3 linked regions of the Sus scrofa genome follow. The protein of the gene in region 1 binds, or shares a complex with, the protein of each later gene. Links are inferred from orthologs where the notes say so. Each region holds a gene or a part of one and is shown in the gene's direction. Other genes may lie near its edges. The genes, in order: TRIM21, ubiquitin-conjugating enzyme E2 E1 and SKP2.

Evidence for each region.
Region 2: the proteins of TRIM21 (region 1) and ubiquitin-conjugating enzyme E2 E1 are in contact, whole or in part, in a crystal structure (PDB 6FGA), measured with the Homo sapiens proteins. The link is inferred for Sus scrofa from reciprocal best matches to the Homo sapiens genes TRIM21 and UBE2E1. Residues at the interface, in NP_003132.2 of Homo sapiens: Pro17, Ile18, Cys19, Leu20, Asp21, Glu38, Cys39, Gln42, Val43, Pro52, Arg55; in NP_003332.1 of Homo sapiens: Lys43, Lys50, Arg51, Lys54, Pro107, Phe108, Asn138, Trp139, Ser140, Pro141, Ala142, Thr144.
Region 3: TRIM21 (region 1) and SKP2 share a complex: the UniProt entries of both Homo sapiens proteins name them as parts of the SCF(SKP2)-like complex. The link is inferred for Sus scrofa from reciprocal best matches to the Homo sapiens genes TRIM21 and SKP2.

The regions. Positions count from the first base shown.
Region 1 is NC_010451.4:5,780,456-5,785,382, forward strand, and holds the start of TRIM21 (E3 ubiquitin-protein ligase TRIM21), read left to right. Parts: upstream 1-1,677; 5' UTR 1,678-1,824; intron 1,825-1,851; exon of another isoform or gene 1,852-2,058; intron 2,059-2,820; 5' UTR 2,821-2,866; coding exon 2,867-3,274; intron 3,275-3,777; coding exon 3,778-3,873; intron 3,874-4,927. UniProt on the Homo sapiens protein: E3 ubiquitin-protein ligase whose activity is dependent on E2 enzymes, UBE2D1, UBE2D2, UBE2E1 and UBE2E2.
Region 2 is NC_010455.5:10,604,140-10,609,062, forward strand, and holds the start of ubiquitin-conjugating enzyme E2 E1, read left to right. Parts: upstream 1-1,697; 5' UTR 1,698-1,885; intron 1,886-2,959; 5' UTR 2,960-2,992; coding exon 2,993-3,144; intron 3,145-4,923. UniProt on the Homo sapiens protein: Accepts ubiquitin from the E1 complex and catalyzes its covalent attachment to other proteins. Catalyzes the covalent attachment of ISG15 to other proteins. Mediates the selective degradation of short-lived and abnormal proteins.
Region 3 is NC_010458.4:21,483,488-21,487,912, forward strand, and holds part of SKP2 (S-phase kinase-associated protein 2), read left to right. Parts: intron 1-796; coding exon 797-895; intron 896-2,320; coding exon 2,321-2,451; intron 2,452-4,425. UniProt on the Homo sapiens protein: Substrate recognition component of a SCF (SKP1-CUL1-F-box protein) E3 ubiquitin-protein ligase complex which mediates the ubiquitination and subsequent proteasomal degradation of target proteins involved in cell cycle progression, signal transduction and transcription.

The DNA.
Region 1 (4,927 bases):
CTACAGCATGCAGAGGTTCCCAGGCTAGGGGTTGAATCAGAGCTACACCTGCTGGCCTACACCACAGCCACAGCAATGCCAGATCCTTAATCCACTGAGCGAGGCTAGGGATCAAACCTGCCTCCTCATGGATGCTAGTCTGATTCATTAACCGCTGAGCCACGACGGGAACTCCCGATATTTATTTTATATGGGGACAAAAGAAATGAGTAGGAAGGAAGTGAGAGTTTTTCCAGCCTCACCATCTTCCTTCTCTACAGCACATGAGCACACCTATCAGCTGCGCCTACAACCTCTGCTTGGACTCTCAGGCAGCCTGTTATCTCCTGGCTGTCCCTAACACGAGGGTCCTCCCTGAACTTTTAACTCTCAGGCACCATGGTTTACCGTGTCACTTAAAGTCACCTCACTCCCTTTATTCTCAGTGTCCTCTCCTGTGACAATAACTCAACTGCTAAGTCGCTGCGTGGCTTAAAGCAAACAACCTGACACAGCAGTATTAACCCTAACCCTAACCAGTAGGCGGAAGCCACCCACCCCAAGCATCCGTCGACAGATAACCGGATAATCAAAATGAATACTCAGACGCTGGAATATCGCTCAGCCTTAAAAGGAAGGCAGTCCTGTCACCGGCTCCGGTGGATGAACCTTGAGGATCTCAGGTTATGTGAAATACACCAGTCACAAAGGGACAAATACGGTAGGATGCCACTTACGTAAGGCACCGAAAACGTCAAACTCACAGAGACAGAGAACAGAATGGTGGTTGCCAGGGGCTGAGGGGAGGGAGGAATGGGAAACTATTGTTTAATGGGGGCAGAGTTCACGTTTCGCAAGATCAAAGTTCTGTGTGTGGATAGTGTGACGGTCATACAATAATGTGAATGCATTTAATGCCACGCAACTAGACACTTACAAATGGCTAAGATGGTGAATGCTATGTGTATTTTGCTGCAAATTTTAAAATTGATAATAATAAACCTGAGAAAACCCCTAGCTCAGTGAGAAGTTTACAGTTGGTGCTCAATAAATGTCAGGCCCCTTCGTCCCACTCCCTGGTGTGATACCCACCTTGGAGAAATGCAGGAAAAAAATCCCTCTCTCCCCAATGTTAATTACCGCATCTCCTAAAAAGAATTTTTTCCTGAAGTAGGAGAGAGAAACTGGCCTTTTTTTTTTTTTTTTTTTTTTTTTTGCTTTTCAGGAACACACTTGTGGCATATGGAGGTTCCCAGGCTAGGGATCAAATAAGAGCTACAGGGGACGGCCTTCAACCACAGCCACAGCCACACCAGATCCCAGCGGCGCCTGAAACCTACACCACCGCTCACCGAAAGGTCAGATCCTTAACGCACTGAGCGAGGCCAGGGATGGAACCCACATCCTCATGGATCCTAGTCGGGTTGGTTAACCACTGAGCCATGAAGGGAACTCCCTAGAGACGGTGGCCTTTGTGGGAGAGCTCCCCCGAGCTCCTTCGGTCACCCCAAACTCCTTAAGGCAGCTCTGGGTGGCACGGTACGGAGGCTGGGGCTAAGCACCCGAGTCAAAGAGAGCAGCCTCTCCACGGAGCAGTCACACTACTTGAGGCCACTAGACAGAGAGACTTGGAAAGGAGCGCAAAGCAAGGACTGGATGCTGCGGAGCCTCTGAGCCATCCTAGCCCCGGGGCGCTGACACTGGCCGAAGCTCAACGCGCCCGCCTCCCGCCTTCCGCCTCCGCCCCTTCCCTCCCCTTCCTTTCAGACTTGCGCTCGACGGGAAATGCGGGAAATCGAAAGTGAAACTTGGAGCCAGCTATTATCTGCGGAGTCCCTTGAAAAGGTGAGTGGATTCACGAACTCGGTTAGACCCGGGTACCCCAGGCCTCCCCGGGGGACCGCTCTCCGCTGCCCCGGATCTGAAGAGCCCCTTGCAGCCGAGCTCTCTGCTGCCCCAGAGCCCTCTTGGGCGCAGGGTTCCCTCGACCCTAACCGGCGGTTTTCCCCGTGCTGCCGTCCGCCCGGGAGGAGGCTGGGCTGTGAACCGACTTCCAAGTCCTCCGGAGCCCAGGGCGGGGTAGGCCTGCCATCCCCGAGACGCCCATCCACAAAAGTCCCCTCTGGAAACGACAGGGGCAGGGTTGCTTAGGGTATTAGAAGTTTTGGGGTCTGTGCCCTGGAGGAAACAAAGACAGGTGCCTGCTTCAGGAAGCTGAGGGAACAGGTGGGGGAGTGCTCTTTAGACATGTGTGGGTGTGTGGGTGTGTCTGTGTGTGTGTACACACATAGGTATGTACACCTGCACATATGGATAAATATGTGCACGTGCAGATGTGTGTGTATATATATACTTATTTATATGTTCATATTGTGGGTGATAGATAGCTCCTTCCTGCCAAGTTTCAGGGATTAATGAGGAGGAATGTGAAGTATGTGCCTCCCGGCACGGGGGAAGGGGCATGGTAAGTGGTCGCTGCTATTAGGATTAGCTTCTCAGCAGAGCAAGAGGACCAGTGGCTGGAGATGGAAGATGGACGAGTAAGCCTGGGCGCCGAGGGTTTCAGCAGAGATAGACATGAAAGTGGAACTGTAAGCAGCTTGATCTCAGATTCCCAGCAATTTTTGCTATCTCTTTTGAGGACTCAGTTTCCCCTTCTGTCTGACTGGCTCATTGGACCAGACTCCGGAGGAGAAGCCCTTGTGACTCAGGTTGACGTCGTTGTTACCTTTGTTTTCAGCCCCTCCAGTTCACGCTCCCTCGAGGTCTCCTTTGAATTGTTCTGTTTTCCTCACACAGCTCTTCTCATCGCCTTCTTTCCTTTTCTCCCCTCCCCGCTAGGCCACCCCGAGATCTCCTCAGCGCTGCTTCATAGCCCGGCAGCACCATGGCCTCAGCACTGCCCTTGGCAAGGATGTGGGATGAGGTCACGTGCTCCATCTGCCTGGATCCCATGGTGGAGCCCGTGAGCATCGAATGTGGCCACAGCTTCTGCCAGGAATGCATCTCCGAGGTTGGGAAGGATGGGGGCAGCGTCTGTCCTGTGTGCCGGCAGCACTTCCTGCTCAGGAACCTCCGGCCCAATCGGCAGGTGGCCAACATGGTGGATAACCTCAAAGAGATGAGCCAGGGGGTCAAGGAAGGCCCGCAGTGGGAGCTGTGTGCGGTGCACGGAGAGAAGCTTCACCTGTTCTGTAAGGACGATGGGAAGGTCCTTTGCTGGGTGTGTTCCCAGTCCCGGAAACACCGGGACCACACCATGGTCCCCATTGAGGAGGCGGCTCAGGAGTACCAGGTGAGGCCTTAGCCCGGAGGCACCTGGGCACGAGCAGGCGGGAAGAAGGTGGGGCCCTGATAAGCGCTTTGTTCTCCCGGGCTGGGGGTGGGACCGAGTCACCTGTGGAGTTGAGGGGTTGGGGACAGGAAGGGGATCCCCTGCCTTCTATGTCCTATTTAAGGGAAGACCCACCATCTCGGCACGATTTTCCCACTGCCCAGGAGCAGGGCGTCTGTTGTGGGAAAAGGCTGCAAGGCCCATGCTTCTGTGTGGCCTCCTGGTTAATTAGGAACGAATGTGTCCCCACCCCCACCACGCCAACAGGGTACCTCTATTTCCTAAGAAACATCAGGCTTTTTCCAGAGTCTTCCCATCACAGAATGCCCACCCCGGTCAGAGGCTCACCCTTCCTCCTCCCCGCCTCAGGCTTTTCTAAGGACCAGTAGGATCCTCCTGGACCTTGTGCCCCCCCACCCTACTTTTTGGTCTGACTGGGCATTACCCGCTGTCTTTCTCTGCAGGAGAAGCTCCAGGTGGCACTCGAGAAACTCAGAAATAAACAGGAGCAGGCTGAGAAGCTGGAAGCGGATATTGCAACGAAGAGAGCAGCCTGGAAGGCAAGGGGCACGTCCTGAAGGGCACTTTAGATCAGAAGCCTGGGGAGGGTCCAGGGTCCTGGCCTCGAGAGCTCTGTGCATAGCTATGCCCGTCAGGAGACTGGGAGTCCCCATGTGTCAGTCTCCAAAAACCAGCCGTGCCCTGGGTCTCCTGAGAGAAGGGAGCAGGAAAGCACGGTGCCCAAAAGGCGGGCACTCCAGTCAGACGCAAAGACAGGGGGTCTTGGGGAGAATGCACGGGGACAAGACGGACCCCAAAGCTCCTGTTCCTGGAGCCCGGTCTCAGGCGATGACAGCACAGGGCCCGTGTCTGCAACAGAGGAGTCCCAGGAAGGAATGCCCGGTGGCTCGGCCTGTCGGGACATGACAAGGGCTCTGAGGACAGACTTAAGGAGCCATCAAGGCCTGAGGGAGGAAAACCAGCCTGACCAGGGGTTTCTTGACGGCGTGCTGTTCCTGGTGCAAGGTGTCGCGGGAGCTACGGCCTGTTCTGCTCCAGGGCTTGGGCAGCAGTGGGTCAGGAACTAGAGACAGTGGGAGGAGCTCATGGACCCGGGAAGGGTGAGTCAGGCTGTGGCGGCAAGAGAGGTCATCTCGTGTCATCACGTCCCTCTCTGGTCACAGCAGGAGAGGGCAGGCAGAGACTAGCCCAGTTTCCCCCAGGGCTTGGGAGTGGACTAGTGAGCTGTCTTTGCGAGGCTTTAGGGGTAGGGACGGGGTTGCTCCCTCTGCAACTCGCTGGGATAAGAGGACAAAGGGGCACATTTGGGCGGTGACCTGAAGAAGGTTGAGGAGTCCCTGGTACTTTCGGCTGATGTTGCCATGGTTGTAGGGCAGCTCCGGTGCTCTCCCCACCAGCGCCACTCCCCCTCTTAGTCCAGGACGCTTCAGCGCCCCCCCCCCCAACCTCCCCCTCTTAGTGGAAGAAGCTCCAGCCCCCCACTGACCTCCCCAGCAAAATTGCGGATGTGTGTTTATTCCCAGACACAGCCAGATGATGAGTCTACAAGGAAGGCAAGTAGATATGGATACCTCCATTCCCAAAGCTTAGGAG
Region 2 (4,923 bases), on another chromosome or scaffold:
TTTAACCTTTTATTTTCCTGTATTCTCTGCCAGCTCTTGTCTTCATCATACATGAATTTTTCCTGGTTGTGCTCATCCTGTAGAAAAGTATTTGTAAGTATCAGGAACCCAAATTTTTGTAAGAGGAAGTCTCCATTTTTATAACAGTCTTTAGATTATTTTTGTCGTCCCATCTGAGTTTATTTCAGGCTTGCTTGTTGTTTTCTCTTGAATTTATGTCTTTATCATCAGAAGGACAAAAAGTATACAACCTGGTTTAAGGAGGTTTTTTTTGTTTGTTTTGTATTGTCTACCAGGATTCTTGAAATCAAACTCTCACCTCCAGGATCTTTTCAAAATTTCTAGACATTTGAGTGATTGAGGGATAGCTCTGTCTGGAGGTAGGAGGCTGGAGGCTGAAATGATGACTGAAGTGGTTTTTTCCCAGTTTTTGGACCCCTCAGGTCTATGACAATTTCTGCAAGTAGACAGATACAGGTTTCCCGGAAAGGACTGAGCAAGAAGTCTGCACGATTACTTTATGACTCTTAAAAAAGTTGGAGTTTCATGTTGAGGACTAGAAGAGGTTTAGGTGGGTGGTAAGAATGCTTGTTTTCCTGGTTAGTTGGATATGCCACTGGCTTTATGTCTTCTGTTGTCCGGTGGTAAATGAAGCCACACTGTTGCTATGGAAAAGGATGGCAGTTTGGGATAATTTAGAGTGGCCCAGGGAAATCTGGGCAGTTGCTTAGTGTACCACACCTAGTATATGTTACACTACACATATCTCTTCAGTTTCCTGCAACTGAAATGACAAATAAGTGAGAAACTGAATTGTAATTTGATGGCTTAACTAAAAAAAATTAATCTTGGTAAACACGATAAATAAAGAAGAGTTCCGAAGAATTAGAGGGATTATTATTAAAATCTTATGATTTGAATAGCATTTATATTGTCGCTGAAGAAGCTGCAGCCGTCCTCAAAACTTTTAATATAATTTCCGACAGCAAAAATTCTAAATCCAGTCTAATTCAGTAGTAGAGGGTTTATTCCCATTGATTTCTCACATTAGAAAGCCTCTTAGACGTTGGTTGGTTTTACCTGTCACGAAATCCACTGTATCACTTTTATAAAACACTTCTTTCTATAAAAAGTGACTGGAAGAATCGAAAATTGTAAAATTGCACGTGCCTGAGCAGAAAACTCCAATCTTGGGATTTTCTCACAGGCGTGCCTAAACCGACCTCTGCTCCTAGCAGGTAAATTGCCAGAGGGGGAAGCCAGGGTCAGCCCAAAGGAAACCCTGTTGTGGGATTTCTTTCTTTCTCCCTTAAACTGATCACTTTTTAGGAGGAGTTCCCTCGGTATTCACTAGTCCAAAGTCCTGGCACCAGATTACCATCTTTTTTACCAAACTGCCCCCGCTTTCCCAAAGCCCTTTTGGTAAGAACTTCCCCTCGCGGTCGCCCTATTCCCGACAGTTCCCAGCGCCCCCAGTCTCGGGACGGCTTCCCCTCTTCAGCCCAGGATCCAGGGGTCCCCCAGACTCCTCCGGAGAAAATTCACAGCCCTTGCCCCCTGGCCCCGCGTCCCGACGAGGCGCCGGGGTGGGGGTGGGGCGGGGAGGGGCCGGGCTTCCCGGGGTCCCCGGGTGCTCCTGGCGCCCCCCGGAGGTGTGCCCGGGGAGGGGAGCGCGGGTGGGTGGGACCGGCCGGACGGGGTGGGGGAGGGGGAGGAGGAGTGTGTGTGCGAGCGTGTGTGGCTGGGGGAAGCCATTGCCTGTTTAATAGTTGCTGTTGCTGCACTTCCGCTTCTCTCCCAGCGAGAGAGACACGAGTGGCCAGGCCCAGCCGCAGCCGCAGCAGCAGCCGCCGCGGCGGCACGGAGCAGCCAGACACAAAGAGAGGTACGGGGATCCCCCCCGCCGCCTGCCGCCCCCCGGCCGCGCCGCCGGGCTTCGGGGACACCCCTCGCCGCCGCCCCCGACCCGCGCCGCCCGGGCCGCCGGGCACGGGGCCGGGGGCGCGGAGAGGGGCTAGGGAGCTCCGGGGGTCCGGGCCCGCCCGCGGGGGATGGGCAGGGCCCCGGGCCGCGTGGGGTGCGGGGCCGCCCGCGTCGGGGGCGGGGGGCACAGGGCTCGAACTGTCAGCGCTGCCCCGGGAGCCCCCCGCTGGCCGCCGAGGGGCCGGGAACGGGGGAGGGGAGGCGGGGAGCCCCGTTTTCCCCTGGGGCGGGGGCCCGTGGGGATTAACCCCTCCGGGGCGCACGGGCTCATTGTTATTCCTCAGCAGAGGAGGCCGAGTCCCCCCCTCACCCCCGCCCCCACCCGGGGTGCCGATCGGGCGTGTGCCTGGGACCCCCGCCCGGGCCGCGCAGACCCGACCCGCACGGTCCGGGGGCTGGCTGGCAAGGGGCGTCGGGGCGCGGCGGGGGCCTCGGGCCTCGTCGCTCCTACCCCCCTCCGGCCTCTCCCTTCCCCCACGCGGGCCCCCGCTGCCCGCCTCCGTCCCCCCGTTTCGGCTTCCTCTCTTACTCCTCTCCGCCCTCCTCTCCTCCTGACCTCGCCAAACTCGGCGGCTGGCCCCCAGCTCCCCTACGACCCCCGGAAAGCCGCCGAAAACAGCCCGAGGCCGGCTGGCCGCCGGGACCTTCCCTGCCCGCCCCGGCCGGGCGCCCCGCACCCCCGCCCGCCGGCTGCTCCTCTCCCCGCCCGGAGGGGAGCCCCGGGGGGCGAGGGAGGGGCTGCTCTCTGCCCTCCCAACCGTTTTCCCACCACGTCCCCCACATGGGGCCCCGAATAAACAAACAAGCCGCGTCCAATTTGCAAAAGCCATGATGGGCCCGAAGACTTTGAAAAGCGAGTGGAGGGCGGTGGGCGGCTGGGTGCACCCCCGGCCGAAGCCCTCCTGACAGCGCCCGAGTTCCTTATTTACACTGGCTGCATGGTTTGTGTTTCTGTTTTGTTTCCCTCCCCCTGCAGGGGCTGTTTGCGGGGTGGGGTGGGGGGTTCGCTATGTCGGATGACGATTCGAGGGCCAGCACCAGCTCCTCCTCATCTTCGTCCTCCAACCAGCAAACCGAGAAAGAAACAAACACCCCCAAGAAGAAGGAGAGTAAAGTCAGCATGAGCAAAAACTCCAAACTCCTCTCCACCAGCGCCAAGAGGTACGGTACCCCCTCCCCACCCCCACCCCCAGCAGGCTTCCTATTTCCCAAACTGCCTCTTGCTGCATTTGGTCTGCCTCCATGAGGGTAGCTTAACCGCTCCTCATGGTTTATATGTTCTTAAAGAGGAGAAAAGGGGCCTTGGAGGCCCTAATTGTTTTTCTCGGTGCCTTCTTCTGTTTTTTCTTTTAATCACTGTCCACATGCAGCTGTTGTGGCTTGCCTCTCCCATATCTTGCTGAAGTTTGTAAGAATTTTCATTACTATTATTAGTGACCACCGAATCTGATTTCACATTACTTGTCCTGTTAATCACTAATCTGTGACCCTTCTCAAGGCTGTCATCCCACTTCTTACTAATACCTACCCAGACAGTTCTATCACAATGAATTCTATTACCGTCTTACTTCTCACCTGTTGCACTTATGAACTGTTTTGAATAGAGCTTTCTCCACAGATTGCATGAGGAATAAATAACTCATTTTGGCAGAGTAAAAACTCTAATGGGTAGAGATAGATGTTTTCGGATGGAATTTAAAGAGATTTTTTAGATTTAGAGAGTTGAGGCAAGTGAATGAATCAATAGGTGATGTAAAATGGCTATTCTAGGCTATTTTGGGGATTCTTGTTGTTCTCTTTGAGAACCTCAATTTACCAAATTTCAGGGAAACTCAAATTTTTTTCATGGTATTTCATTGTTGATTTTTAAGTTGAATTCAAGCAGTGGTTCTTTTTCTTTGCTCTCTTCCTCTTATGTCTCTGGAAGAAGCTACTTTTTAACCTCCATTATCCTTCAGTAGTGTCCTCTGATTCCCATGACCCTTAAAGTATCTATAGTAGATTCCTGGGAACCCCTATAGTTTATAAATCCTGCTGTCGGTTGTAGAGTCATTAAACTTTAAGGTGGCAAACCAGAAAGACAGTAAGGAATCCAAATGGTGGGTTAGCTGGAGATACCTTTCTTTTTTTCTTTTTACTGTTCTTTCTTTTTTTTTTTTTAGGGCCCCACCCTTGGCATATGGAGGTTCCTAGGCTAGGGGTCCATTCACCATAGCCACAGGAAGGAGGGAACGGAGCGGGTCCTTAATGAACTGAAGGAGGCCAGGGATTAGACCTGTGTCCTCATGGATGCTAGTCAGATATGATTCCGCTGAGCCCCTGAGGGGAACGCCGAGATACCTTTATTAAAACAATGTAAAGTAAAAGGGAACTTGATGCTTTAAATCTCTTCACTGAGTAGTGTGCCAAATAGAGTTTGAAAGTTTGTCCTGTTACTCTCCCTGACTTGAAATTTGGTAGGTTGGTACGGTGTTTTGGTGACCTCACCCTAGGAGGATGAAGGGATGACTTGCGCTTATTTTAAATAGTGGAGAGGTGTAGAGTTAAGTGGCAAGATCCTTTGGTAAGATTGTTCTTGGTTTCAGGGGTTAGTTTGATTGCACCTCAACTTTATGGAAGTCCTAACTGGTCCTTTTTGTTTAGCCCTGTGCTGTGTCTTTCAGAACCTGGCATCTACTCCTGCCCACTTTGGATGGGGCCTTCCTTAATCTTCCTCCCAACTCCTTCCCAGCATCTAAACTCCTTATCCAAGCTGACCTAAGGTGGAATATTTGCTTTTAGGTCATTAGTATTTTTATATTTTGCTGGATATCTCTGGTGTACATGAATATATTTGGGGATGATGCACAGGTGTCAAATATTAGTCTGCTTTGTGTCAGCAAATTACAGAGGGGGATTTATCATTAGATACAATTTGTCCATTTACTCTAGGGGGGTTAA
Region 3 (4,425 bases), on another chromosome or scaffold:
CAGAAGTGAGATTTGAACCTGGCAATACAGTATGATTCCAGAACTCTTGCCCTTCATCACTAAGTTTCACTAACATGAGGCATTTGGGAAGGAGGAGAGGGCAAATCTGAGAGACACTTAATTGAAGCAACCTGGTGACTTGACACATAGACATTTACCTACAACTAACTCTGGCTGTGGGTGAAATGGAAATATGTTTTATTGCTGGATTTTTCTTGTTTTTTGTTTTTGTTTTTTTTTTTCAATTTAAAAAGTACATTGATCAGTGTTTGTTGTGTACTCACTGTGTCCCAGATACTGTACTAAGGCCTTTATTCCATAATATCATCCAATTTTAACAAAAAGTGCTGATGTTGCCATTTCCCAGAGGAGTAAACTAAGGCAAAGCATCCTACTTGGTGCCATAGAGATCATAAGATGCGAATTTAAACTTCTGACTCAGGGAGTTCCTGTTGTGGCTCAGCAAGTTAAAAACCCAGCTAATATCCATGAGGATGTGGGTTCGATCCCTGACCTCGCTCAGTGGGTTAAGTTCTGGTGTTGCCACAGACTGCAGCATGGATCACAGATGTGGCTCAGTCCAGTGTTGCTGTGGCTGAGGCGTAGGTCTCAGCTGCAGCTCCAATTCGACTCCTAGTCCGGGAACTTCCATATGCCACACACGCGGCCCTTTAAAGAGAAAAAAACAAACTTTTGACTCAGAGGTCTGAGTACTTTTAACTACATCACTTACCTCATGCTTGTCGATTGAATAAGAGTGTTTTGTTGGTATTATGACACTGTTCTCTTTTTCCAGTAATCTTGCTCAGAACACAAATTTAGTGCGACTAAACCTTTCTGGGTGTTCTGGATTCTCCGAATCTGCCCTAAAGACCTTGCTGAGCAGCTGTTCCAGGTAGGAGAAATTTGAGATTTGATTATAGAACTGTTTCATATATACAATTATCTCTCACATCAGAATAGAATTGGAGGAGTTCCCATTGTAGCTCAGTGGTAACGAACCCTACTAGCATCCATGAGGATGAGGGTTCAATCCCTGGCCCCACTCAGCAGGTTAAGAATCTGGCATTGCTGGGACTGTGGTGTAGACCAGCAGCTGTAGCTCCGATCCAGCCCCTAGCCTGGGAACCTCCATATGCCATGGATGTGGCCCTAAAAATTGTTTTTTAAAAATTAAAAATAAAAAATTTTAAAGAATATAATCAGATAAAATTTTTAAGCTATTCCTAACTCTCTGAGCTCTTGATTTGGATAATGCAATATCCTTTGCCCTCCAAACTTCCCATCTCAACTCAAGAGCCAAGTCGATTAAGTCTGCAAAGGACACTTGTATAGTGATCCCTTTTTTTTTTCTGTGACTATTAAAACAAGGGAAATTTAGTAGTGTGTTTATTAGTGGTATGCTTCAAAGTATTCTGTGTACACCTGACTATACAGTCAGGCTTTATAAAATCTGTAGACCTAACTTAACAGTTATTATATTGTTATTGCAGAACACTCCATGACTTTGGTTGATTTATCTTTTATGTAGTAATATCAGTATATAAAGGAAGACTACAGAGTTAGAGAAATTAATACGTGAGGGAGGACATGGTTCACAGAATACCCAATAGTCTATGCATGTGTCCTTTTTAATATCCCTTGGTCTCTGTGCTATAGCATTATACCTATTTCTCCTTAGTGACCTGTTGAAAGTAGATTGCCTTTGGATAAGCATGTTGTCAATGAGATAAAATGGTAACCCTACATTTTCTCAGCAATGTCAGGAATGGAGTGTGTAGTTTAATGGTTGGACTTTTACTTTGAAGCCCTCATTTGCTCACTTAGCAGAGGCCAAATAAGATAAACGTGGATTTTTGTAATATGAGCATCTCTTTATTAGGAATCCCCAGCACAATCTGTCAATTTTTCTAAAACATCTGAGGGACTTGCTCATTCTTCGTAGTTTTTGGCTAACAACCCAGGTGGTTGAGAAAAAAAAAAAAATGTACAGCCTGGAGTTTCCCCCTTGAGCCCTACCTAGGATGAGGTTCGAGCCCTCAGCAGGCAAGGAGAGCGTTCCCCTCCACTTCCACAAGGGGGCAGCATTCACTAAGGCTTTGGCTCACATCTCCTGGAGACTTTCTGGGACAAACTGGACCTAGATAGGTGAAGGCAGTTTCAGGTGAGCAGATGTAGCTGCTTAGAGAAGCAGAGGTTCTATCAGAAAATGGTAAGGAAAGTACAGCTTTGTACTTTCTTGGTTTACAGCCTGAGGCAGTGCTATCTAGAAAAGTGGGTGACACTTTTATACTCTCCTCATCATCCCTCTCGTGTCCAGATTGGATGAGCTGAACCTCTCCTGGTGTTATGACTTCACTGAAAAGCACGTGCAGGTGGCTGTTGCACACGTGTCAGAGACCATCACCCAGCTGAATCTCAGCGGCTACCGAAAGAATCTGCAGAAATCAGGTAAGACTCTCCAGGCTGCTGGACCCTTAGCAACGGCAAACCCAACAATAACAGCAAGTTTGATTTCTCAAGCATTTCCCAAGCACGGTCCTCCATAAACTGCCTCATTTAATCCAGTTCATGTGCTGCCATTCTTACAGCCGCTGATCAGAAGTGGTAGGTAAAGCTGGTGGGATAGTGTCAAGGTTTGAATCCAGAATCTGGAAGCATTTATGTTTAATTTATGTTTAAGCAGAAGACCTTTTTTTTTCTCTTTTCTTTTTACGACTGCACCTGCAGCATATGGAAGTTCTCAGGCTAGGGGTAAAATCAGAGATGCAACTGCAGGCCTATGCCACAGCAGCAGCAACAGCAGTGCTGGATCCAAGCCACATCTACGACCTGTACTGCAGCTTGTGGCAACACCAGATCTTTAACCACTGATCGAGGCCAGGCTTCCTCAGGGACACTATGTTGAATTTTTAACCTGCTGAGCCACAGTGGGAACTCCAGAAGAACTTACTTTAACTAAATTAAGTAAAACCCCAACATAAAAATCAATAAATGCAGTGTTTGCTTAGTTGTTTTGTGTGTGTGTGTGGTTTTTTTTTTTTTTTTTAAGGTGCGGCATGTGGAAGTTCCCGGACTAGGGGTTAAATTGGAGCTGCTGCTGCCGGCCTACACCACAGCCACATCAATGCAGGATCTGAGCTGCATCTGCCACCTACACCACAGCTCACCACAATGCTGGATCCTTAACCCACTGAGTGAGGCCAGGGATTGAACCCACATCCTCATGGATCCTAGTCGGGATCGTTAGCCGCTGAGCCACGAAGGGAATTGTCGTGGTGTTTGCTTAGTTTTAAGCAGTGGTTCTCAACTGGGACCAAGCAGGGGACATTTGTTGAGGTCTAGAGACATTTTTGATTGTCACGGCTGCAGGGGTGTTATTGGCATCTAGTGGACAGAAGCCAGGAATGCTGGTGAACAATGCACAGGACAGCAGAATAACACACAGAAAAGAATCTGGTCTGAAATGTCAATAGTACCAAGTTTAAAAAACCCTGTTTATAAGCCCTCTTTCTAAGTTCATATTTATAACTCTTTTTTTCAGTTCGGTCTAAGAGGACAATGAAGTTGTTTAGACAAACACAGGAATTTAAAGTCAAGGGTACTATGTGACAAAGTCTTTATAACCTTCAGCATTCAGTTATGCTTTGTTTTATTAGTCTAATATTAACAGAATCTTGATTTGCAAAGATAAGTGTTTGCAGATGGCAAGATTTTTTTTTTTTCCTGCAGGCTAGGGGTCGAATTGGAGCTGTAGCCACCGGCCTGTGCCAAAGCCACAGCAATACCAGATCTGAGCTGCATCTGTGACCTTCACCACAGCTCACGGCAATGCCGGATTCTTAGCCCACTGAGCAAGGCCAGGGATCGAACCTGCAACTTCATGGATACTAGTCAGATTTGTTTCCACTGAGCCCCAACGGGAATTCCTGGCAAGATTTTTTTTTTTTTAATTGAAGTGTAGTTGCTGTACAATGTTACAAAAATTAGAGGTGAACAATAGAGTGATTCACAGTTTTTAAAGGTTATACTGTATTTATAGTTACTATAAAATATTGGTTTTATGCCCTGTTTTGTACATTATGTCCTCGTCGATTATTTCTTTAACACATACTAGTTCGTACCTGTGCTTATCTTACCCTTTCCCCCTTCCCTCTCCCCACTGGTAACCAGTAGTTTGTTCTCTATATCTGTGATCTGCTTCTTTTTTTATTATAGGCACTGGTGTGTTATAGTTTTAGATTCCACATATAAGTGCTCTTATAGTTTTTGTCTTTCTCTCTCAGACTGACTTCACTTAGCAGTTTAACAGCTTCCCCTTGTGATCTCAGGCTGTGGCCTCCACAAAGCCCAGTTAAGCCAGCCACAGCCCTCAGCCCCTTTTCCATGTCTTGATGGTAGTATCTGCTCATCTGAATATAAGTA